Linked DNA regions of Solanum lycopersicum. The protein of the gene in region 2 interacts with the protein of the main gene of each other region in a pairwise test. Links are inferred from orthologs where the notes say so. Each region holds a gene or a part of one and is shown on either strand. Other genes may lie near its edges.

What was found. The genes of interacting proteins can lie anywhere in the genome.
Region 1: the proteins of SCARECROW-LIKE protein 7 (region 2) and myb family transcription factor IPN2 interact in binary tests that used the Arabidopsis thaliana proteins (3 or more experiments, as listed by UniProt). The link is inferred for Solanum lycopersicum from reciprocal best matches to the Arabidopsis thaliana genes AT5G66770 and APL.

Annotation. Positions count from the first base shown.
Region 1 is NC_090811.1:7,166,640-7,173,259, reverse strand, and holds myb family transcription factor IPN2, read right to left. Parts: upstream 3,985-6,620; 5' UTR 3,782-3,984; coding exon 3,613-3,781; intron 3,516-3,612; coding exon 3,439-3,515; intron 3,334-3,438; coding exon 3,267-3,333; intron 3,191-3,266; coding exon 3,124-3,190; intron 2,582-3,123; coding exon 2,539-2,581; intron 2,132-2,538; coding exon 1,708-2,131; intron 1,283-1,707; coding exon 1,053-1,282; 3' UTR 892-1,052; downstream 1-891. UniProt on the Arabidopsis thaliana protein: Transcription factor required for phloem identity. Has a dual role both in promoting phloem differentiation and in repressing xylem differentiation during vascular development. Regulates the expression of the transcription factor NAC045 (AC A4VCM0).
Region 2 is NC_090801.1:64,560,042-64,566,744, forward strand, and holds SCARECROW-LIKE protein 7, read right to left. Parts: upstream 3,646-6,703; 5' UTR 3,339-3,645; coding exon 1,509-3,338; 3' UTR 1,352-1,508; downstream 1-1,351. UniProt on the Arabidopsis thaliana protein: Probable transcription factor involved in plant development.

The DNA.
Region 1 (6,620 bases), on a different chromosome or scaffold from region 2:
ATCCTAAAATACAAAAAGTTGGATGCTCTATGTCTCTTTGTCTCATTCCTAAAGAGAAGCTTCCAAATATCCCTATCTTTAATTTATTTTATTTTATTTTTGCTCAAATAAAAGATAAAGAATATATTCTCAACTACTATCATTTTCTTTACTTTTTTTTTCTACTTTGGTTTTCTTTGACTGGCAAATAAACCAAAGATCAAACCATCCTCTTTCTACTTTTTTTTTTTTTGGTTATACAATCATGAATAATTAGCCTAAAATGTAAGTTCCCAATAAAACGGTTAATCTCATGATGATCATTTTGCGGTACCAAAAAAATCATTATTGGGACCTTAAACTTTTTAAAAGTTTAAAGAGAAAATAAAAAACAACTTAGGCTAACATAAAGTGGTATGTTTAGATTAAACAAAGGATTGAAGGACTATTGAATGATGTACAAATTTTAAACATTTAGTACTTTCTACGTTTTATTTTATATGACTTAGTTTGATTTATACATATAGTCTAAAATAAGTAATAGATATTTTCACGGCCAAAAATCATTTCATTCGAAATAAAAAAATATTATTCTTTTTAGACCTGATTAAAAAAAAAATCATAAAAATGATAACATACAAATATATCCATGTATATTTATTTATAAAATTAACAATATATATCAAAATTTACACTATTATATTCGTAATTTCAAATCTTGAATCAACCGTATACATAAGATGTGCAAAAATACAAAAATGAGAAATGATCAACACGTGCCCGCTATATATGATATGATATCCAACAAATTAAATTACATATATATGTAGATTGTTTTAAAAAATGATGGTGCCCTTCAATATTGTAATAATTAGGTAATTAAAATAAGGTATGCCCATGTCACGTGATACGTTATAGTAAAGTGAATTCATTGATATGCATGGTGACCAACAATTATTGTTTCTCCTAAGTATAATAATAAGAGTAATAGTAATAGTAATACTATCGTACAATATATTATAAACTCGATAAATTAGAAAAAAAAGTTCCAATGTAAAAGATTGTCTAAGTTTTTACCCGAAAACAGAATTTCGTCCACCTTGAGCACTCAAACTCGAAACCTGGGCAGCTCTTCTTGGGGAAGGCCTCTCTGGTTTCGTGTCAAACTTCTTGTCATCTTGTAGTAATGGCTTAGACTCGTACATATCAGACACCGAATCAATCTCAGGATTGCAACTCCTCTCCATCTGAATAATTTGATGATCGTCTTCATTATTAGAACCTAAACACGAACCACCTCCACCTAAATAAGTAAAATGATCATCATATATATAGTCTGTTCTCTCTAACAGCTTAAATCTCATAATCGCTCAATTTCAATAAGTAAATGATCAATCATATATAGTATGTTCTCTCCAACAGCTGAAATCTCATAATCACACAATGTCACCAAGTAAATGATCATCATATATAGGACGTTCTCTCTAACAGCTTAAATCTCATAATCGCTCAATTTCAATAAGTAAATGATCAATCATATATAGTATGTTCTCTCCAACAGCTGAAATATCATAATCACTCAATTTCACTAAGTAAATGATCATATATATATATATATATATATATTGTTCTCTCTAACAACTGAAATCTCATAATCACAGAATTTCAATAAGTAAATGATCATGTATATAGTATGTTCTCTCTGACAACTTAAATTTCAATACATACCTAACTCATGTAGACGAAAATCATCTGACCACATAAATGGACTCTTTCCATTGCTAGTATTGTAAGGGCTAGCCCTTTTCTTTCCAAGAGACAAGTTATGATCGGTTGAAGTATTGCTCAAGTTCATGAATCCATCGAAGGATGAGGATCGTTCACCCATGCTACTCTGAGCATGAAGATCGATGTGTTCTCCACATATGTTCAAGTCTTGGAATGATGAGAAAGTTAGAGGAGGGGTTCCAAATTCTTTAAAGGCAGCTGAAATGTCTGGTATTAATCCTCCTTGATGATTTCCAATACCTTTAAAGGTTCTTGTTGGTAATGACATATTTTCTTCTCCACCTAATGTTTGACAAGCTTTTTCTAATATGGTTTGCATGTATTTTCCTTGTGCTTCAATCCTCAATTGAAGGTGTCTTTGTACCTACACCATGCATGAACACATAATTAAATTCCTAAGTTATAATGATGTTATACTCTGTCTGTCTCAATTTATGTGGTACTTTTTACTTTTTTAGTTTGTTTCAAAAAGAATGTCACCTTTTCGTACTTAGGAATAATTGAACTTTAAAATTCTTCTTTTATCTTTGATGGAATGATTTAAAGTCATAAAAATATGCAAGGTTTGTTTTAGGCAATAAATTTCAAACGTTTAAAAAAAAAGTGTCAAAATCAAACGATGTTACATAAATTAAGATGAAGAGAGTAATGGTTGAACCTATTAATTAACTTTAAAATTCAAGATCCGCATCTAGTTTCGGTAATACTAGAAAATTATATCACTTTGATGAAAAATAAAAGAAGAATAGAGAGATTGAAATATATAATTACCTCCAATTGTTCATGCAGCCTTCTTTGCACCTCCATTTGCATCCTAATTCCATCAGATATGTGAAAGTTAATACTTACACCATTTCATGTATGCCATATAATTACTTTACGAGTGTTGATGACAATAACTTGTATTGTCACACAATTCAGCGAAAAAATCAAAATTTTCATTAAAATAATTTTTAACCTATATATTTTCTATAAATTTTTCTTTTAAAATGTGTTAAACAAACACTCTTCACATCACCACTAATTAAACCACCCAATCTAATAGAATTAAGCAATTATTAGAAGAAGAATAAAATAAAAAGAAGATGTCAATATTGTTAAAATTTCTACCTTTCATACTAGAAGATTTAATTTATATTAAAGTTTGATTCACATCACACCCTCTCATACACTTGAAAAAGAATTTGAAACAAGAAAAGAAAAGAAAGGGACTAGTAGTGTAAACACCCTTCAAAGAAACAATTCCTAATAATTATTAAAGTGAAAGCAAACTAAAAGAAGCTATAAACAAGATGAAATTTAATTTATATACTAAAGTTTAAAGTGAAATTAACAAGAAAAAAAATAACAACATACTCATTCATATTACGTCCGATCATTCCAGATGAAGATGCTGAATTTCTTTGTAGTTCTAAACTTGTAGCTGCAAGTTAATTAAACATATTAATATACACTTATACAAAACAAAAAATTCATTTAAGAACACGAATCAATAATACCTCTATCGCCATCCTTCACTGAGTGATCGTTAAATTCTTTGTGTGGTTGTTTTCCCAGTCTAAATTTCTACTCATAAAAACAAAAAAAAACAATTAGGTTATGAAATGATCAAGCTAAAAACATTCAGAGGTAGATCTTCAATAAAATTAATCGCGAAGATCAAAATTAAACCTGAAGATGACTCTTGAGATGGTAAAGGGTTAAACCCTTAACACCCATAACTCTCATAATAGTTTTAGGTGTTGCCTCTACACAACAAAAAATAAAAATAAAACATATAAGTTTAAATTCTGAATCAACCTCTGATGATGAGTTTACATATAGGGTTAGGTATAGAAAACGTACTATCAGGTCCACCTAACTGAGTAACAGCATCAACGAAGCGTTCATGAAGCTCAACTGTCCAACGAAGACGAGGTTTTGGATCAGTGGTAAGGACGAGACCAGAGTCACCTTGAACACACATAGGTCTATCATGAGAATTCATAGTAGAAGGTTTCTTGGCATGGAACATTCTCTCTCTTTTCTTTTTTTTCTTTTTTTAAAAAAAATTTCTTTGATGTTATTTCTTTCTTGATGGAATACTATGCTAAAGAGATTCAAGAACAAATGCGATATGCAAATAGAATAGGTTTGGTTTTAATTTGAAGAAGAGAACATGCACCTTTTAGAAGAAAAAAAAAATAAAGTGGACAAACCCTTCAATTAAATAAAGATAAAGTCTATGTTGAGTAAAATGTGTATTATACATATTAATCCAACCGTTTCATTTTATATGAGTTAGTTTAATTTGACATGAAGTTTAAAAAAAATAAGACTTTTGAAACTGATGATATAAGTGTTAGATATTTGTGTGATAATAAATCATTTCATTAAGATAAAATGAGCATTTTAAAGTTAAATTGTGACCCGACTTACTTTCTTTTTTAATTAATCCAAAAAATAATGACACATTTTTTTGGTCAGTAACAATTTCCAACAAGAATTGTAGTGGAGTGATAAGTACTCCTTCATCCTTAATCAAGAAGTCTCGCACTTGAGTCCCCTTGGCCCTTGAATATAAAGTCGTCTTTGTTAAAGAGTGTTTACTAATGTGGGACTTCCCGATGCGATATGACTATCAAACACCGGGTGAGAACTTTAATTTATATATTTTACCATTATGAAATAATTTCTACCATACAAGTATTATAACTTATTTTAGATCATAAGTTTCAGAAGTTCTTTTTTCTTTCTTAAATTTCATGTCAAGACAAATTAACTCATATAAATTGAGACGAATGAAATATTTAATATAGAAATATATTATTCTTTTTTAAACTGACTAAAAAGAAAATGAGTCATATAAACCGGAATAATGGAGGAGGTAGTAGATTTATAAGTAGGTAGGGAAAAAAGGTTGTAAAATACTAACATGCAGCTCTACTTTAATTTGGCAAAAGAAAATTAAAGTTCCACTGGTGTAGATGTGGATGTGTATATAGTTAATTACGGTGTATTTTTTTTTTTTTTTGCTTTATTAAAGAAAATTAAAGAGGGACTCGTATAACGTGAGGTGATATAATTTATTATTAATAAATAAATATAGGAGTTAATTAACATCTGGCCTGGGATTGAATTCCTACTTTTTATTTTATTTTTTTTATTGAAAAGGGATTCTAATAACGTGATGTAGTATAAATTATTATACTCATACAATCATAACTAACTTTGCATTTATAGGGATTTGTATTGCTATAATTAAACATATTGTTAGTACTAATTCAGAATGTTACCTCGTTAATCACTGGTACATCGGGAGTTGAAATTGGTTATATTTACTTTGTTTTTATTCATATTATAATATCCTCGGTCCACCTTTATTTGTCATGATTTCTAGTTTTAGAATTTGATTAATATTTTAAGATGTATTTTTTAATCATATTGATATGCAAAAAATTACAATTTATGATGTTTTACATATAATTTTTGAATTTTTTTTTAAAAAAATCAAATTAATGTAATCGAATTTACTTTGAAAATCAATCAAATTGACTTTTGAAAAACATAACATGATAAAAAAAGTGGACGGAGGAAATAGTGGCATAATTTGATATGTAAAATATGTTTTTTTTTTATGTATGTGGATACATAAATCGTTTCATTTAGAATAAAATTAGTGTAAAATTAATATTTTAGAATTAATTATTAATAAAGATGAATGATTTTTTTAAAAAATAAACTTTAAAAAAATGAATTTGTATGTATTAAAACGACGAAATAATTAATTTATAATTACAAATGAAACCGCCCAATATCTAGACAACTTCAAAGGTCAAAAGTTTTATGACCAAAAAACCGTTGAAAATATGATTTGTTTAGTGTTATCACTCGACAGCCATTATTATTGAAAGCTAGTCTGTAAATTGAAGAGAACTTTATCAAACAAAAATCAGATATTCTCGACAGCCATTTCTATTGAAAATTAATATATAAATTAATTCATAGGGGGAAAAAATTGGCCAGAAAATTTAGTGAGGATTTGGGTAAAATGGTAAGACGTTATTTTATCTTTTTTAAATATTTTATTATTTTGATTTTATGTCACGACTCAAACCGGGTTGCGACTGGCACCCACACTTACCCTCCTATGTGAGCGAACCAACCAATCTAACCTTAACATTTCAATATAATATCAACAGAAAGTAATGCGGAAGACTTAAACTCATTAAATAAAGACCAATTCATTAACTTCTAAAATTCAACATCTATTATTCCCCAAAATCTGGAAGTCATCATCACAAGAACATCTACGATCAAATGACTAAACTAAGAGTATTCTAAAAGCTAAAAATACATAAGAAGCTAGTCCATGCCGGAAGTTCAATGCATCAAGACTTGAAGAAGAAGATCCAGTCCAAGCTAGAAGCATTAGCTCACCCTGAATTTCCGATGTAGTAAGACTGACTTGAATTACTGTTGAGTTGAAGACGATGGCACGTTTGCTGCACTCCACAAATAAACAAGAAGAAAACATAAAAGTAGGGGTCAGTACAAAACACGGGTACTGAGTAGATATCATCGGCCAACTCAAAATAGAAATCAATATATACCAAGTAATATCATAAAATCAACTATGATACTCAACATGTAGCAACAACAAATACTATATCATTAACAATTACCGTCAAGTTCACACATGAGGACTCAAGCCTCCATACCATACTCGTTTGGGAATTATGTTCATTCGATTGAGTATATTAACATCTTTCAAGATTCATTATCTTTATTTCTCTTGTGTCGGTACGTGACACTCCGCTCCCTCATATTCATTAATCCTCTTGTGTCGGTACGTGACACTCCGATCCCCTAAA
Region 2 (6,703 bases):
TTAAAAACTATATGAAAAACACTATAAATTACAAATTTTTGTATATCAATATGATGAATACATCTTAAAATGTTAGCAAATGTTTTTAAAGTTTGATTCTAAAAATAAAACAATAACAAACAATAGTGGACAGACTTCTCGAGTAATAAATAGCTCAGAGAAGTGTTGAAAACACTTTAACTTGATGAAAATTTAGAGGCATATTTCACTCATTCTGCGAGTATTTAAGATCAATTAAACAAGTAAAGTACATTTTTAAGGTTACTAATAATTCAAAAATGAAACTAATCAGTCACGCTAGGAAAGTAGTAGTACCTCCTTGATCATACATTAAAAAGCAATTTTGAAATATTAACCTCTATTATCTAGTGACACAGGCAGTTTGTTGTACAACCTCCAACAATAATTAGTACATCAAAAAAACTATGTCCCATCAAAATTTGGATGGATAAGAAACGCCGTATATATTTTTTTCTTTTTGCTAGCATTTGAATCTAAATTTTAATCATTTTCTCCAATTTCATTAGTTAATTAATCTACTAGACCATAACTCTTTGTAGTAGCTACATATGCCTTTCATTAGCGTATCACATTTTTCTACTAGTAACAAACTCATGGCCCATTATGCAACTTGTACTACGACTTGCTCAGCAATTCAAAGAGGCAGTAGTGATCAAAGCGCACTACGGATGGTCCAAAAATTAGAGCAAAATAACATTTTTTTTCAGTATATGAATTTAGTGTTTCAGTCAAATAATTAGGCCCCCTACCACCTCTATAGTTTTGTAAAAGAGCACGGCTCTTGTTCATCATCAACAACTGCTGACAGGAACTGATATTAGGTGAGTGAAAGAAAGAAAGGTACTATTCTGAATTCATTTTAGAGTGAAAGAGACTCCCATTAATTCATTGCCATATAATCAAAGTTTGGTACTATTATTTCTACTACAGAACTTACCAAAAAGGAATAGACTTTACTAGAGTGTAAGGCTCTTCCTGAATGAAGGACATGGCAAAAGTCAGTAATAAAACACCATTTCCTCATGAAAAAAAAGAACTGTTTTTATTTCTCTAGCTAGGCTAAGCTAAGTCCACAGGTTTTGGCTTAAAGTCTTTGTCAATGGAACTTCCATTACAGAACCTGAGAGAAAAGGACCTTCTTTCTTTTGGACTAATAAAACCTCTTATAATGATTGAATCGTTTACTCAATTAAGCTTTCACTAAGGCAGCAACAACATGCTATCAATAATTCATCAATAATTCACAAAATTTATGCACAATTACAGTTGATTTCTCCTCCTAATGACACAAACCTAGAAAACTAAATATGAGAACCGAGAGAAGACACTATTCATATAAACAGAGAAGGCTTTAATCTTGAAATTCAAAGTTAAACTTGCTCAAAAATATCATCTTTCTATACTAACTTTTTAATCTACAGAGAGCAATGAAATTTAAATTTAAGCACTTAGAAGAAAGTACCTAACAGAACTGATGTAGAACACAATTAGTGCCATGAAGAAACAGTCAAAAGGGGATTATCTTTCCAAGCCAAGGAGAGAAACCCAGGGGCAGAATCAATTAATCCAAATGATGAACTATAATTATAGTTCCAAAGAAGAATTTTTGCTTGACTCATTGCATAATGGCTAAGTGTTACTGGTTTAAAACCAGCCCCTTCCATTAATTCTTTCCAATGTTCTTTATCTTCCATACATTCTCTTCTGGTTCCGCCATCGTCTAGGCCCACCGCTCCGGCAATTCTCCGGCCAAGTATCAGTCTTTCCACTTGTACTCTCTCAGCGGAGTCTCGGGTCAAGCTCGGATCCAATGACTCGAAAATAGTTGAGTAGTATTTCAGTGCGTTCTTAAATCGCTGCAGGAATCCAACATCATTCAAATTCACCTCATACTCACCCAATGTCACAATGCTTGGATTCAATGATTTGGCTAAACTCAGTGCAGTTTTTACACCAACATTTGTTTCGTCCAGTAAATTGTACAGCTGCAACATGAAGTTCACAGCTAAGATTTCATCTGGATCAACTCGAAAACTAGACCCGTTAAGTTCCTGAACTGGAGTCAATATTGGTTCGAATTCGAAGTTAAGATCCAGAAGCTTCGCGAAGTCACGAAGACGATTCCCTGTAGCTAAAAGTGAAGCTGACGGAGAGTTACCCAATACCACTGATGGAATGCCAGAGATTCTAACACTGACTGGTTTACCAGCTGATCTAGTTGCTAAAGCTTGTAAAAAAGCTGCCCATTGGATACCATGAACAATTCCAAAATCTACAATGTGAATCCTCGTTGCTTTTTCAGTTGCTTCAAGAATCGCCTGATTAGCCGTTAAGTGAGCAAACTTTGAGTAGGGACATGCATCATTAAAGGCTTTGTATGACAAAGTGAGCTCCTCCGGCGCAGTACCAAAGATTGACGGAGTTCTCTCTGCTTGACACGACGAAAGCCTATTGTAAAGAGCTTCTAAGAAATAGAACCCAACTCGCTCCATTGGATCTCCTTGTTGGGAAACTGATTCCCTTAGTCGAATCAATGATTTTACTACATTTTCAGGCTCTGATTCAGCGAGTCTTGCACATTCCACCAAGGATTTCAACAATGGTTTTGACGAAAAACTTTCAGGGGAACTACATGGCTGCACATCAACTGATACCACCTTGGATTCTTTGCTCGCGGGTTGAACAATTGGAGGAGGAGATGAAGATGGTGCGACCCATGGAGATGTCTGTGGTTGTAGTGGGCTTAGATTTTTCTGGGTTTCCGAAAAAATGACCCCATTGAGATCGGAAGAAGGTGGAGGCGGAGGAGCAGAACCGATACTGAGTCGATTCGGACAACTCGGGAACGGATCTCCGTAGAGGGTAGTGAATTCGGAACTCGTCTGCCAGGCTTCGCAACCAGATTGAAGATTAGAGCTTCCGGTAGAATCTCCGCCGCCTATCAAGCTCTCCATCCACTCATCTGAGTCAAACTCACCACCCGGTCCACCGCCGAAATCAGCAAACCTAAACCCGGTCGAATGATGTTCCAAGTTAGGGAACTGAAATCCCGGCTCGGCGCTATCTGTTCCTCCGGCGACCTGAAATGGGTCTGCAAAACCCGACCCGGTAAGTCCATATCCTAAAGTGGGGCTATTAGTTAAGGTCTGGTGATTGGAAGTCCATGGGCTGAGACACAAAGGATTAACACCCAAGAATTGTTGTTGCTGCTGCTGCTGTTGCTCTTGCTGTTGGAGCTGCTCCTGCTGCTGCTTTTGCTTTATGACTTGCTGAGCAATTGCCATTAGATTCCCACTGTCCGTACACATATAGGCCATTCTCCACACCAAATCTTACTAAGCTACACTACTCACACATTACCTCAACAACAACAGTTATAAGAAGAAATTGGTGAGCAAGTTTTGAGTGGACTAACAGAGTAGCCCCAAGAAGAGGGAGAGAGTTGAAAAGGGGGTTAGAAGTGCTTAGCTTTAATTGAGAAAAGCTCAGCCTTACAAGGAGGACAAAGTTTTGCTTGAAATGGCTCCATCTGTCACACTATATTAATTTTAATTTGAATCTCCCCTAGGTCAAAAATGTCTATAATTTCTTTCAATTGGAGTATTATATTTTTAATTTAAGTATTCAGCTCGTATATAATATCAAAAACTTTCATTAAATTTGAATCGCAAATTACAATAACAATGATATGATATCAAGCTTTTATTAATTTTGGGTTACGCACCACGATAACAATAAAAGGTAAATTATTTTACTTTATAATATTATATGTGTCCCTATTTATTTGTTCATATTTTTTTTATATTTATTTTTATTTACTTGTCTATTTTAATAAATTAAGAAAGGATAATAATTTTTTCTTAATATGATTTTATTTAATTCTAGAAAACTTTTCATACTACTAAATTGTAATGCATGCTTTTGGAAATTAGAAAATATATTTATTATATTTCGAGAGTTGCATAATTTTTTAAGTTAAGAATAAAATAATAACAAATTTATGATAATAATTAGTGCCTTAATATATGTGTCATAATTTTTTAAGTTAAGAATAAAATAATAACAAATCTATGATAATAATTGGTGCCTTAATATATGTGTCACTTTTAAAATGAGCAACTAAATAGTATCACTTCTAAAGTGTACGACTAAATACGAACTGATTGAGTATTATTTTTATATATAAAAGAAGTTGTATTTTAAGTGATAACTGATGCTATTCTTTCAAATTATTATTCTTTCACAGTTTTATTGGACACTTGAAACTCGGCATACCCAAATTTATCACAACTTGCTTTATTTGTTCATCAAAGAAACAACAAAAAATAAAATAAAATTGTGGAATGGTTCATAAAATTAATATTTTATGAACAAAATTTAAAATATAAATAATTTTTCTAATTGTTTTTGTGGGGAACAAATGAAACTATTTGAGTAGTTGTTATGTGTAAATTTTTAAAATTACATATACGTTTAGGACAAAGCCGAGTATGATAGGTAGAAGCGGGTTTAATTAATTTTTTTTTAAATTTCATTCGATAAAAATAAATACGTAATAAATAATAATTAAATTTTTTTTATAAGCGAGCATATGATAATTTCGAGCCTTAACTGGCAATTGAAGATGTTGTCTTATGGACCCTAATCAAGAAATTAGAAATCCTCCAAATTAATAACTCAACACTGAAAGGGTACGTGTGAACTGCTGACAACAAATTCTCAAACAATTTGCAAACAAACAGAAATTATCAAACTTAAATGAAGAAGAACGAAACCAAAGTACACATAGTGATTCTATCAATATGTTAGATAAAAAGTCCAGTTACTCAAAGTCACGAATAACAACTCAAAATTCAACAAAAAAAGATGAAAAGCCAAAAAAATAATGATATACTACAGAGAAACTCGGTAGAATTCGCATCTACAAGCTCTAATAACTTCCTTTAAAATCATGTTTTGTATGTGTTTAAATGGTACAAACATGCTCACTAACAAAATATATTTTTAATAAACAAAAATGGTAATACGCACTCAACAATAATATGTCAAGCACGACATGTCACACAACGTATGACATTTTATGCTAAAAAGGCTTTTTTCGAGACTTTTGATTTCTGAAAGCTCTGGACCAAAATTATTTTGTCAAATTCTCTCATGCTAACTTTATTCTCCATCTCGCTTAATTTTATGTTGATTATTACTTAAATTTTAAAACTTTATTTCATTTTTATAAGCTTCAAAATTTATTTTTCTAATATAAATTATATATTGATGTTCAAATTCTGATTCAAATACAATTAAAATAATATAATATAACACAAAATCTAAAGAAAAATATATATTTTCTGGCCAAATGCCAGCCGTCAAATAATCAAAATTAAGAGTAAGACACGTAGGGCATTAAATCGTTACAATAGACTTGATTTCCTAAGAAGATCCAACATAGTTAACCCGTTAGCCTTATGGGATGGACCGCCTAAAAAGATACAAGAACTATAATCGAAACTAAACTCAAGTAACATATAATATATATTTATTTATTTTAAAATTTTTACTAGAACAATAATCGAAACTAAACTCATGTATAGCTATTTTTTAATAAAAATAAAAAGATATCAGTATGAATAAGCATAAACAGGAAAGACTTTGTCTTACCAATTCTCATGAAGTATCTAATCTTTACTGATTAATAAAGTATTAAGAAAATAAGAGCTTAAAAAAATCAAGTATTTTGAAATCACCACAAAATTTGTATAATACGATTCAAGATGATATTATGATGAGAATGCTTAAATAATATAAAAATATGACAATCAAAAAGATGATTAAATAATCAACCTCAAACTTTTTATTACGAAATCACGAATAAAAAAAATAATTACTGCTCATCAAAAGTAACTCGAGGTATTGTTCTCTTTTCTTCTTCTTTAAACATATCCCACAACACTTGACAATTTATACATTCTTTATGTATTTATTGGAGCTTTGTTGAACCCACTTTATTACATTGACATTGTTTTGTTTTGTCTGACACATCAATAAGTGTCTTGAAACAAATTCCTTACGCACTTTACCGTCCCAACCATTTTGCCTTCTATGTGTCTTCTTTTTTTTCTTTCCTTGCTTCTTCTTATTTGTTGCCTATGTGAGAAATGCAATGCATATGTCCGGCTCTTTCTCATACTCATCAAGAGAATTCTTGCCCAAATTACATTTGTCACTTAAAATCCTTTTTATTCATTCTTTTTTTTGTTTATAATCACTCATTTAGGCACAAATATAGAAGCTTCTGAATTAAATTTGCTATTCATAGCAGTTTATGAACCCTACTCTTCTTGGACTATATTGATATCGTTCTCTTTTGACCTTACTATTCACCAAGCAACTACAGAGATGGAAAATAGATTTTTCAATTGTGCTTTTTAAGATAATTAGTTATCGATAGAGAAATACTATCTATAATTATAATTATTATTCGTAGTGATAGCGTATACTATCAATTATTATAATTAGTGTTCACTATAAGTAGTCACTATTTACATTTGTCAAAATCATATTGTCATGACAACAACAATCATTAAATAAAATCAATAATTATCCCCGTCACTAACCATTACTACTAACTACTAATCACAACCATTATCGTAAGTTGATATCCCAACTATTATATTTAACCATTAAC